2 linked regions of the Styela clava genome follow. The protein of the gene in region 1 binds, or shares a complex with, the protein of each later gene. Links are inferred from orthologs where the notes say so. Each region holds a gene or a part of one and is shown on either strand. Other genes may lie near its edges.

What was found. Proteins that work in one complex are often made in the same cells at the same time.
Region 2: nuclear pore complex protein Nup160-like (region 1) and centrin-3-like share a complex: the UniProt entries of both Homo sapiens proteins name them as parts of the nuclear pore complex. The link is inferred for Styela clava from reciprocal best matches to the Homo sapiens genes NUP160 and CETN3.

Annotation. Positions count from the first base shown.
Region 1 is NC_135250.1:6,156,789-6,164,673, forward strand, and holds the start of nuclear pore complex protein Nup160-like, read right to left. Parts: upstream 3,004-7,885; 5' UTR 2,982-3,003; coding exon 1-2,981. Other genes in the region: GA-binding protein alpha chain-like, read right to left, coding at 4,410-5,636. UniProt on the Homo sapiens protein: Functions as a component of the nuclear pore complex (NPC). Involved in poly(A)+ RNA transport.
Region 2 is NC_135263.1:8,826,991-8,832,797, forward strand, and holds centrin-3-like, read right to left. Parts: upstream 1,954-5,807; 5' UTR 1,895-1,953; coding exon 1,391-1,894; 3' UTR 529-1,390; downstream 1-528. Other genes in the region: regulatory-associated protein of mTOR-like, read left to right, coding at 3,665-3,850, 4,777-4,879, 4,955-5,037, 5,626-5,784. UniProt on the Homo sapiens protein: Plays a fundamental role in microtubule-organizing center structure and function. As a component of the TREX-2 complex, involved in the export of mRNAs to the cytoplasm through the nuclear pores.

The DNA of each region.
Region 1 (7,885 bases):
TTGTATTTCTTATGTTCACAAAGTGAGACAGCAAGAGTTCTCAAGCAATCTTTTCTATGATCAGGATCTGGGTTTAGTACTATTGCTTTCAGTGCATTACAATGCCGCTGTAGTAGGTTACTCTGTCGAAATATACTCGACCACAAAATGGACACATTCGGATCATGCTCTTGTGATTTTGCAACTTGAATGGCATGTTCTGCCAAAGTAATCACTTGTTCAGGTAAATCTAATCTCTCAAATATCGGTAAAACTTTGGTATAATAGATAATTTCTTGAGCTGCTGGGTGGAAGTTTTCTTCATCTTCTTTCAGCAGTTTGTTAGCGAGATAATCCTCATTGCTAATCCCTGACGATGCCATGATAAAGGATTGAACGGCTTTATCAAAGTTTCCATTATGAAGATGACAGTGCGCTAGCATGTATCTTTGAGACTTTGTGCTCCAGTTGCACCAATCGCCAAGCTCTCGCTGGATGTATCTTTGAAGGACAGTGTAGTGTCCATGAGAGAGCAAAAAATCTAGCAGGGTGAGTGTAGGCCCAAGCGGCCACATAAGGTAAACGACAAAGTTGACAAAATTTGTAACCAATCCTGAATGTAGGATGTGAATACCTTGTCCTTGTTGGTTCTGCAGATATGCTTGTAAGAGCTTACCTCCATCAGATGAAATAAAGAATTCAAGTACGGTTTGGTGTCCTTGCGCAAGTGTGGATTTTGCCTCTCGGTCTATGCTAAGTGTTGAATCATGCACGGATAAAGTTTGCATGGTGCTTTCTAAAGTTGCCTGTGATATGTTTTGTGTTTGAACAGTAGATAACCAGAACATAGCTTGATAAGCTTGCACAAAACTAACAATTCGGAATCCTAATTGAGTGTCTCCTTCTTGTTGTATATGACCATCTTGCCTCTGTAGAGTTTCTAGCAATGAGGAAAGTACATAAAGCAGGATGGAGAGTTGGAAACGATTTTCAACATGTCGCATAATACAACGCGATATAAATTCAACCCCCAGTGACCCTGCTGGCCAAGATTGTAAATCTGGCATATCAAAATCGAATGCAAATTCTGAAGGGCTTAAGCAGAGCGTTAGCATTTTGACAGCAGACGAAACATCATTAATTTTGATGATAAGATTATCCCATGTGTCGTTTCCTGATGATTCTCTTACAGCACCCTGAATATCTGGCATCATATCTTCTATGACATCAGGTGGGGAATTGCCAGCCAAACATAAGCTCTGCTGTATTGACTCTACTAATTCCGCTCCTAAATAACTATGTAATTTTCCAAGGCTTTCCAATAATTGAGCTAAGTCATTGAGATTGGCATCTGTGCAATCGTCCGGCTGTAAAAATGTTCGAAAAATATCCGGATCAGATCCACGGCAAACAGCTTCAAGTGGTGAAACGGGGGCTAATATCATAAGATAACCTTTTTTGATGACGGATACAAGACTCTGTGAAGAACCGTGATTGATTATCAGCCCCAAAGAACGAGACACAACTTGCTGATATTGAATTAGATCTTGATAAAATGAGTTCCACACTGAGACTTGCAAAGCATCCTCATCCATTTCTTCATCCGGAATTATTTCTTGAATCGCATTTTGAATATGTGCGGCAACTCTTTCCTTCAATTCTTGTGGTTGGAGATACGCCATGTTCGATACGTTTGATCTCTGATGAATAGATAACGTTCGAGTCAATGCTACAGGGCTGAATTTACCTGAGCTAAATATGTAATCCATGTAGGCCTCTCCGACATCCTGATATGGAAGAAGTGGAATTTCTAGAACTGGTGATGGGTGTGAAGCGACTTCATGCCATACACCTACATCAGCAGCACACACTGAAATAGAATCTACTTCTTCAGTATCACGCCACAAAGTAAATATTTTATTTGTTTCTGTTAAAAAATAATCAACCAGATGGCGGTGTGGTAGTCCTTGTGGTGAAAGGGAAGCAAAAACAACGGACAAAAAATTAGTTTCCAAAGTACCAGTGCTTGAATCCATTTTCACTTGAAATTGAAGGAATCCTGCTTGATCCGACATACAAATATATAAGCTTATCATTCCAACTTCGTTGACAACTCTTACTTTGAGATCCACAGCTTTCGATTTGTCACCATCATCTTGAAAATGTGCTGATAGGTCATAATTCACAAGCATATCATGGGTTTCAAAAGACCAAAGTCGCAGTTTACGGTCTTTACATGCTGCAACGACGTATGGGTGATTTTCAATCACGAGTATTGCAATATCAGAGATAGTTTCAGTGCCGGCTGCTTCACCCCATGGATTAATACCGGACCATATTCGTGACATCCTTGACGCTTGGTAGATATTTGCAATAGTTGGAGGAGAGCGACTTGTCATGTTAACAAGCGCCATATTGCCTTGATTGGTTTTCAACGCAACAGCAGTGTATGGGTCACCTTTATCCGGAAGCATCGTTCTTACTGACCATTCTGTTACAAGTCCCTGAATTTTTTCGCCAAAATAGAAGTTTTCAAACTCATTTTCAAAATTGAAAGTCGCTAAATTTGAAAGTAAAGATGGATAACTGACCCCTGACTTTGGTCCAGATCGCCCAGTTGACAAAGTATCAATTGACATACGATGAACTGCATGAAGAGTACAACAAGTGATGTATAAGCGATTTTTGAACAGCGATACATCAACTCCAGGTATTATTTTAGTTCCTTCGAAACTGATGATAAAATGTGAAGAAAACAAATCCACATCGAGAGAATATTCAAAAATTTCCAGAGAATTTTTTTGAGTGCGCCAACAAATCACTCTCGTTGAATCTTGCAATTGTAAGGTCACACCACCACCGGATTCAGGAAATGTAACATTCTCGGATGCATCGACTGGACCTTCTCCTTCAGGAACTGAAATTTCTTGAGCAGGTCTTTGCGAAAACTTTGAATGTATAGGAATTTCTTGAAGAAACAAGGCTGGATCCTTTATATCCATGATGTTATATTACAAACACTATCTAAAAGAAAAAATATATAAATCATGGCGTTTACTTTGCAGTGAGTTGCTAGAAAAATAACATGTAGCACCAAATCAACATCACAAATAGTATCAATACATACCGGTAATAGTTGAATAATTAAATGGCAATAGAAGAAAGTATAGAATACTTATCAGGTTATAATCACAAATATAAAGTGTTTTGACATGACACTAATGCATTCCAAATAATAACTTTGACTAATTTTTTTGCATGGGATGATTTTTTGTACAAAAATCAAATTCAAATTTTACATTTGAAATATTAGTAGCTAAGCTAGTCATATTAGTTGGCACCAAATCGATTGGTTTTTTTAATTCTAAAAGGAATTACATTCATTCAAAAGGCAGAGGGTACAGAGTCGGTGAAATGATTGCATAAATTGTTACCCGTCACCCATTTATTCATTTTGTAAATAAATATCTTCAAATATGATGTCAAACCCAAACCACCAAAAAAATTTAAAAAAACAGTTATACAAATATTTCATCTGAAAATTGAGCTGGCCACAATATTGCTGACATTGACAATCATATTTGAAGCAAACCAGACAGTTGGAACATAAGTCACAAAAATCAAATAATTTCCACATTTTTCATAGTTTTGGTCCAGGTTTGGTAGAAAATAATTGCTTTGAGGAATTGTTCAATAAATTAATACTGTAGTTTGAGCCGAAAATCAAAATAACCTTATTAATACCAAGACTGGCGAATAAGGGTACAATTCCAACAAATAGTATTTATAACGATTTTTTATCAACTGCTGTGTTCTTAAAATTGAATTGTTATATAGCGCATTTATGATTCATGTTATGCAAATATACAATACATGCTACATAAATCAAATTGAGTAGCAAACTGAAAGAATACTAAAATACTGACACTCAAATTCAAATCATCAAATAACTTAAGTCGAACCACGATTTTCAAATTGTGATTGAAATGATCAGGTTAGTATTAGAACACTATGACTTCTGAAAACCCGCAAAATATATTCAAATGAATCGGGACCAAAAATCCAAGCCATCCTAACAATGTATTATTTTGGGTATGTTTAAAATTAGCATAGGTACATAAAATTAGCAAAAATGCTATTATGAGTTTAGAAACTATATTTATATGATTCAGGACCATTTAAGGATAAGAATTTCTCAGTGACATTTGAAATCAGTGGGAACTTTACTGTTGTATCATTTCATATATTTCCCCAAACAAAGATTTTTACCAAAATTATTTTTATGGCAAACAAAGACATATTCGGCAACAAAAATATGGCGTATGTGATATTGAGCAAATTATCAAAATTTAACAGATATATATTATTTACAGATACCATTTAACAGCAATATCATTATTAACAAAACGGCTTCGAATTATAGAAAAGCATCATTGATTGACAAGACTAGACAATGCGATACCATTTATCATACAGTCGCCATTGACTGGCACAACATTTTGATCAGACGATTGTTCTTTTCGTTTATTCGAACAATCAGTTACCATTTTATTCAATTCTCCTGCATCATAACCTAGTAATTCTTTCAAATTGCAAACAAATTTATAAACGAAGCGCTTTGAAGGTACTTTACTGATCATATCGCCATCGTAATAATAACGCAGAGCCCGAGAAAGTTTTTCATAATTCATAGTGGGCTTGCCTTTTCTTTCACCCCATTTTTGAGCCACCATTTCGGGTTGTAAAAATTTGAATTCCCCTTCATCTCCCAACCACATTATGACGTGTCGTTCGTCTGCGTCTGTTAAAAGTTCCAACAAAAATTGCCAAAGTTGAATTTGGCCTCCGCTGTTGTGAGAACGTGTACTGATTGGAGCACCTTTGTCTGATGAAATTATAGCCGGCGTTCTTCTTGGAGCCCGCCGTGCGTAATTGCCTGATATGTTCGTTTGTTGATCATTTAGAACTAAATTTAAAGCCATATTTTCAGAATCGTTTTCTATTTCTACATTATGTTCACCATCGTTCGTTGATAATCTTTTCAAAAACGACAAGTGTGACCATAAAATATTTCCATATGGCAGTTTCACAAAAAATTCTTCAATCGTTAATGAACATAATTTCTTTCCATCCATTCTAGAATTTTTAATGACAGAAGCATCTAAATTAAATTCCTTTGCCACCCAGACCATCCAGCGAAATACTTGATCTGATGTCCATTCCATTGGGTCACAAGGAATACCAAGTTCCTCTTTATTTTCTGATGAATCTTCGTTATTAGAATGTCCATTTTCTGAGAGTCCACTTTGTTGACCGTTCAACGCTTGAATGTCTTCATCGGTCATATTTTTCGTAATTTCAACAATAGTCAATCGCCCATTATCAGTTTGTACTCGAATACTGAGTTCGACACTTCCCGAAACCTTTACGCCTTGCTGATACAAACTCAGTTGTGGATTAAGTGGAATATCTTGTAAATAAATTTCATAATCACTCAAATCCGCAGATTGTAAACGATTTTCAACCAATTGCTGAATATTCAATATTTCCACTCCAGTATCCAGTTCAATAGTGATAACAGAATCAGTGTGGGATCCATTATGTAACTTCGCTGGCATCCCAGATTTCCGATTCACTTTTCGTCTTTTTTGTTCCATTTCTATTTAGTTTAGACAAGTGAGATTATTCTATGACTGTATAACATAAAACATTTCAGGAAATTAGCGAAAACCATATCTTTACTGGTAACGTTATATTATTAAGAATAATATTATGCTTGGCATACCGCTACCACTTCACCAAATGATAGTTCATACACAGTATACAGGTATATCAGAACAAACGAATGACCTTCATCGCTAATTCTGTAACTGGTTAGCTAAACGAATACCGGTACCGGTATGGTTTATGCTGGAAACTAGGTGAGAATTGTTGACTGGCCAATTCGTCCCAGTTCTATCACAACATAATTTTTCCTATTCTTAAGATATTTATATCTACATACTGGTATTCTACTATTAATCTACCGTATATACGTATACGCAGATATGAATAGTAAATAAACAGATGAATAAAACTGCTGAACTAGAGTTCAAAAAAACTTCAAAATTTGGGTGAGCGAACACGTACTACTTCTTTTATCAATACCTTTCCATCTAAAATCTGTACGTTTCAAACCTTACTCGGGGTTTAGTTCGCTCTCCCGATTCTATAATCAGTTACTTTTATCTTATTATTTCTGATTATGGAGTCGAAATAAACTTATAACCTAAATATATACTTTTACTTATTTTCGAATAATATTAGAATGTTGAATTTTTTTTTAAATGGATCCACAATGTGGATTATTCAAGAAGTAAACAATCGATAAATTAAGTATAAATAAAGACATATTGTGTACCACAAGTGAACAAACATTAAGAACATATATATCAGTAATATCAAAATAATTCCATTAGATATAAGAAGTTAGCCATGCTTAACCCAACAAGAGAGATATGCTCAAATATATGGACACGTTTGAAGTAAATGAAAGTAATATCCTTCTAAAGAAAATTTTTATCTTCATGCACTGAAAATTTCAGAGCAATACATACATTGGTCCAGGAATTAAAGAGAAAAGCGACTTTATAGGATTAGGTAACAAGTGGACGTGGCTTTCCACACGTTTTCTCACCACTGAGGAGGCGGAGGCACTGCCTCCACCCCTAATGCCACTTCCCAAAAAATTCCCGTTACCCGGGCAAACGGTCTCTAAACGCCAAAACAGCTCGTGTGACTAGATCGATGACTTGATTGACAGGTAGCCTACTCCGGGCCACTAAAAGCCTGTTTTGTCCCACTTTCAATGTGAATTGAAATACTAAGTGATTTAAATCACTTATCCATTACGGTACCAGAGCAAAATAAAAATAAATATCGATTCCCCGATAATCATATGCGGTAACTAACCAGTACCTGAAATTCGTTCGAAGAACGGTTCTTCCTTGTCATATAAGAACTCAATTTATTTCCTCTTATCAAATAAAAAAAAAATAAGGTAGGCAACAAAATTTATGTTGTTTACATCAGAACTGTAACGAAAAGCTGAGAGCGTAATTCACTGCGGTACCTTACCAGTACTGCAGGGGTCTGGTATAGTTTAGTACCACATCCACTTCTAGTTGGCCTGGCTCATCAATTTTTGCATATGTCAATCCTAACCCCCACCTGACTACGTCACCGAAAAATTACGTCATTCCTACATCACAGTGGCGCAATAAGGCCCACCGAAGTATGCGGATGGTCGTCCAAAGCACGCAGACAATCACCAGAAATCGAGCAAGCTATTTCTCTCGTTTTCTCGTCGCAACGATCACGATAGGAGAAAGATCGCGTTATCGGCGGCGCATATGCTATTTTGGGCGATCGTAATTATACTTTGGCAATCCCTATGACGTGATGGTGACGTCGTAGTGACGTAATTTTTGGATGGCATAGTCAGGTGGGGGGTTAGGAATAAGATATCGTCACGCTAATAACCGAATTGCGTAAGTCATTTTTAGCAGTTTTGAGAAAAACGTAAAAAACTTTCTAATGATATTGTTATGTCATTGAGAGTCAATAATTTGTCATGGTTCAATATTTTGATCGTAGCTGGATTTAAGTTAATTTGTATGACGCAGTTAAATGACGTCATAATGGCGCACTGTGACTTGGGCAGAAATGTGACTGTGACTTGGGGACATACGCAATTTTGGGGGCTCCTGAAGTATGCGAACCAAGTTGGCGGACATCGGAATGTAATATGTGTACTAGGTTAGGGTTAGGCCATAATTTTAGGTACAAATACTACGAGAGGCACTTGGCTAGTCTTTGAACTCATAGTAGGACTAAAATCGATCGATGTTGTTGTAGGACTATCATC
Region 2 (5,807 bases), on another chromosome or scaffold:
GCATTTCGACAACTTAACGGCATTGTAGTTAACGCCAGAAAACGCATTAAAACATATACCGATTGTGACATAACAATAGAGCATTTTTTACTCTCTGAACTAGCGAAGTGTGTCGCAAAACAGTGGTAAATGGGCTGCCACCGTTAAAAAAAATTGTAACAATAAGGAATATGAATTTTTCACCCATGACAGCCGTGCTGACAAACCGGGACATTTGAGTCAACCGGCCGGGACAGCTCGTCAAAACCGGGACGTATGGTAAGCCTAATATTATCGGCAATCTGAAATATCGGCGTTTTGTTGGTATCGACGAAAATAGTGATAACGGTACATATTCAGTTTGGACTCATATATTTGATTCGATATTTGATTAATTAATTTAAAAGAATTAATTTGATAAGTGTCTAGATTGGTTGGGGACACCCGTCGCCCGATGACTGCTTTCGATAAGTCGACCAGGGCGAACAACATTTGTGACAGCTTCGATTGGTGCTTATTTACAGCTTAGCCTTAAGAGTGATGCACCAATTTCAAAAATAATTTTATTCACAGACGTATATTCAAGTACTAATATGCAAACAAATATATCAAAAATGACTGAATCAACCATCTTTTCATCTCCCTAAATTACACAAAAAAATGAAAAATTGACAACAAAACAACAAGCTTTGTAAAATTAGCTGGGGCAACAAAAAATAAGCAGCAATAGAGTAATAGATTATATAAATGTATTAATGAGGATTGTCACAAATGCTGAAATATATTGGTTTTGAATGAGACAATGCCCGAGAAGTACCTACTTATTTTATATATCCGGTCTTCTCCTGTGAAGATGATTTGTATCAGTTAATAAAACAACATAGAAAACTATACATAATAAAGTTGTGTGAAGAAACATTGTGTAAATTGCTGTCGCAAAAATATTTAAAAAAAATATGCTACTTACAGCCTTCTACCTGGATTATAAAATGTACTGAATGAATTAGGATTGAATATTTCCTTGCCAATGAATTTTGTTCCGCTCAAAAATAGATACTATTGCAAAGTGAATTTATAATAATGATATAAAAAGTATACTGATGAAAAGGGTGGATTGTATGCAAAGCATAGTGCAAATGATGATGGAGTTTTAACATATACTTCGGAGCAAATATCTCAACTAATATTTAGAGAATTATCAATATTTTTTATGGTCCAAAGTCTCTGTTCAAAATTAAGAAGATATTCCCCCGTGCTATATAGTCAGATAATTCCAACCAAAATCCCCAAAACAACTACATATATACATTTTTAATCAGATGCTATTCTAGAACTTTTCCAAATAAATTTTTTCTCCAAAGGAAGATATGTTTGTACTCAATATTTTGATAGTTTTAAAGCTTGAATTGTTTCACGTATCACCAGTCATAATCGCAATAAAATCTTCCAGGTTAATTTCGCCGTCACCATCAGTATCAAATTCATCAATCATGGCTCTCAATTCATCATCTGTCATATTTTCACCAAGTTCTCTAGCAACTCTACGTAGATTTCTTAATGATATTTTACCACTGTCATCATCGTCAAAGAGTTTAAAAGCTTTTGTCAACTCTTCCTGGGGATCTCTTTCAAGAATTAAGTCTGTCATGACATCATTGTAATCATCAAAACTGATTTTTCCAGTTTCTTCTCTGTCATTTTCTCGCAAAATTTTCAAGACGTCAGCTTTTTTTACTTCAAACCCTAATGCTCTCATTGCGACCTTGAGTTCGTGATAATCTATAAATTTATCCTTGTCTGTGTCAAATAATTCGAAAGCCTCTTTAATTTCTTGTTTCTGTTCCTCTGAAATCTCCCTCCGCTTTTTTCGTTTGGATTTTTCCAGTCCAAAATCTCCACGTAGAGACAAACTCATCTTGAAATTATTTTTTTAATATTAATTCTATAAAAGGCAATTATGAAGAAAAAAAAATGATTAGATTTTTTTTGTCAGGAACATAAATTCAGAACAGGCAGCATTGGATAAAACAGAGATAAGTGATTGCTGTTTTTATTTGTTTAATTACTATATATGGTAAATACGAGTACTGCCTTGACATATAATACATTTTTTTGTAACCATATTTTATATCTACTAATGGTAACTTAAAACACAATAATAGGCTAATCAAATGTCTTCTAGTAGTAAAAAACTCAAAAGTCTAATAAAACACAATATTGGCATTAAAATGGCACAAAAGTCTAGCATTAAATATTTTTTTAAATTTTTTAACAGTATTTTCAATGAATCAAAATATAAACAGTTCTGCAGTTCATAAATAGATGACTCAGAAGTTCATGTTCTTTTCCACATACAGACATAATACACACAAATCATTTCCTGCGAGATTTCTTATTCGTGACTTTGTTTATATTGGTAATATATCTCACATTAACTTGTGATTGAAAGTTTTCATATAGTTTGTCAGCCTATTGTTGTGAATATTTTTACATGAACTAATCCTGGGGCAACCCTAAAATGCGGGAAACGGGAAATGCACTAAAATGCGGGAACTGCGGGAACGACGGGAAATTGCAAAAACTAAAATGCGGGAACTACGGGAAATTTCACTAAAAAGCGGGAAATTTCACAAAAAGCGGGAATGACGGGAAATCGCTTTAAGGTACGGGAAATATTCATGCAGAAAAAATAAACTATCACTAGCCATAGAATTACAGTAGTTTCATGTTTTCCTTCTTTTATATTTGTACTACCGTACATGTATTATGTTTTCTAAAAAATCTAATAGGATTACGGTACCGGTACTCTATACAAGGACAAAAGCTATGCAAGCATGTATGGCCAGGAAAGTCTAATCCCAGAACAGCAGAAGTTGTCGTCCAATGCTGTATTCAACAAATGCAATATCAATATTGTTGTGAGAATCAATAATAATTACATATAGTCTACATACCTTTTCTATTCCAAACTCAGCGCTAGAATTGCAAAGTATTATAAAAGTTCAAACGGAACCGACAAAACAAAAACACAATCAAGTCAAAACTGACGGTTAGTGGCGGTGTTCAAATTCACAAGGTGGCAGCATTGAGCAAAAATATTCGTGAAAGCTTTGTCATGATATTCAGTTAACCATGCTAACTATATTCAGTTAACCATGGTGCGGCGTTCATTGTATGTGTGTATGTTAATTTGTCTCACTGTTTAACAGCGTCTGTATAATAAATAAACATAAAGATGTCAGATGTGTTGTGACATTCTCATATTCTCGGCGTATAAAGTCATTAGTAAAGCTATAAAATCACAAGTATTGTCAAATCTAATTTGTCTCAATATGGATGTCGTTCTTTTACAAAATTACGTACGATTATGATGATATGTGATTAATATCATTGCAGTCTTGGATTTCTATTCAGATCCCAGCGATTCATATGAAAATCCTATCCATTCAATAATTACACATATGCTATCGACCAAAACTTGCAATGAAACTGATATTACAGAATTCAAAATACAGATTTAGAAGTTAAGATTGATTATTTTGCAGACCTCTCCTTTTTTGTATCTGTGCAGCTGTGGCTTTGCAGCTTTTGTAGGGCTGAAGCCAAAATTGTTATACCGAATGTCTACATTCTTCCATTCCTTTACTAGAGTTTTATAGTAAATTGATCAGCTTGGTTGAAGACTATGTTGGGTCGAGGGATTGAAAAGGATGAAGAAAAAGAGGGGGAGACTGTAGATGAGGATGCTGAGATTCTTCATAATATGATGGAAGCAGGATGGAATTTACCTCTGGCATTTCAACAAAAAAGACACTTGGAAAGCATCACAAGTTCAAAGCCAGTCACACAAACATGGAGAATGAAAGAAAGGGTAATTGTTTAATTTTGTTGATAGAGGTGCGTTTTATTATATGATGTTTTGTAGGTGTTTCTGTTGTATATTATAACTGTCAATTTTGTTCATTATTATTTAATGATAATTGTATTATTTCATCCAATGTTGCATTTTTGTGAAACATGTATGCATATCTATTCATGTAGATCGAATGTTGAAATGTATATTCAAATTAAATTAAGCATTGTATCAAAATTTGTGTTTTCTTATATAAAACCCTTCAGCGGAATATTTACTTAGTATGGAAGATATTCACTCAATTGTGATGTTACTGGAATAATATTATTATTTGAATAGTTGAGAATTGGTTTTATAGAAATTCTATTAAATGCAACTATTACTTTAAATATAAATATTAATTTGCTATGTATTAATGTTCTTTCAACTAATTCCTTTAACAATAACTGAGTTATTATTATTCACATTATAAACATATAAATAAAAATTTCAAATAAAACAGTACACATTTTTCATTACAAGTATAAACACTCTAATACAGCGGTTCTCGGCCGGGGGCCCATGGCCCTGTAAATTGGCCACAGAGCAGGGCGCAAAACTGATTTTACTTTTCCCTTGACAAGAAAACTTCCTGTTGTTCCTAGTTTCATTGCTTGGAAATGTTATTTCACATGGTAGATTCATTTTGTTGAACATGAATTGTTTGAACATAATGGGATTTGGAATCTACCCATCAAAGTAACACTATAAATACCACTGGAATGATAAACAGGGGGCCATGAGTGCTGAAAGCTTTCGGAAGGGGGCCACGAGCCATCAAAGGTTGGGAAACACTGCTCTATTGCAATCATTGTATAATATGGGCATGCATTTTTTTAGCAAGGGATTGATTGGTGATTTTATCTCAGTACTATATTCAATAGTAGCACATTTTATATTTTTAGATGAAGACTGTCAGCGTTGCACTTGTTCTATGTTTAAATGTTGGTGTCGATCCTCCAGATGTTGTGAAAACAACACCTTGTGCCAGACAAGAATGTTGGATAGGTTTGTTTAATTAAAATACTTTGTTTATTGTAATAAAGGACTTGAATTATATATAATTTGTTTCTTTTATTATAGATCCATCTAACTACACACCTCAAAAAGCATTGGAAGCAATCGGAAATAATTTGCAAAAGCAGTATGAAAGATGGCAATCAAGAGTATGATGTTTGAATATTATACTTTGAAAACTTAAAATATTAATAAATAGGTTGACCAAATCTCAGACTGAGATCAATGATCAGTGTTGGATGAGATTTACTTGCCATTCAGACAGACCCAGGAACTCTATTAATAGGATAGTTGACATTCTGTTAGTATTTTAGTCTCTGTATCTGCATTCATTTTACTACAGGGTTTCTCAAATAGGGCTCTCGGCCCCCCAACGAGTGGTTCTCTCGGGCCACAAGCAGGGCCTAAATAGATTGACTGTGATTTTACTATAATGCATTTACTTTCTTTTGTTGAATTTTTTAATATTAAACATGGAACATAAAATAACTGATCAAAATGTAACTTCAAAATTTGGTATTTTTATAGAGATGCAGGGGGCCATGGATTGTGAAAGTTTAAGAATTACTGTTTTAATACACCCCCCTGTCTTATCATTTTGTATAGAGTTTTAATGTATTGATATATATTTCGCTGACCAGATTGTAACATAAAAATTATAAGTCACCTATGGTAAGACAATATATATTCATTCACTTAGTATATTACAAAACAGTTATGTATTTATTATTTTGTAGGCTCGTTACAAACAAACTCTAGATCCGACAGTTGAAGATGTCAAAAGATTATGTACTTCATTGCGAAGAAATTCTAAAGAAGAAAGAGTTTTATTTCATTATAATGGCCATGGCGTTCCGAAGCCAACTGTTAATGGTGAAATTTGGGTATTCAACAAGGTACTTCTTTTTCCTAATACATG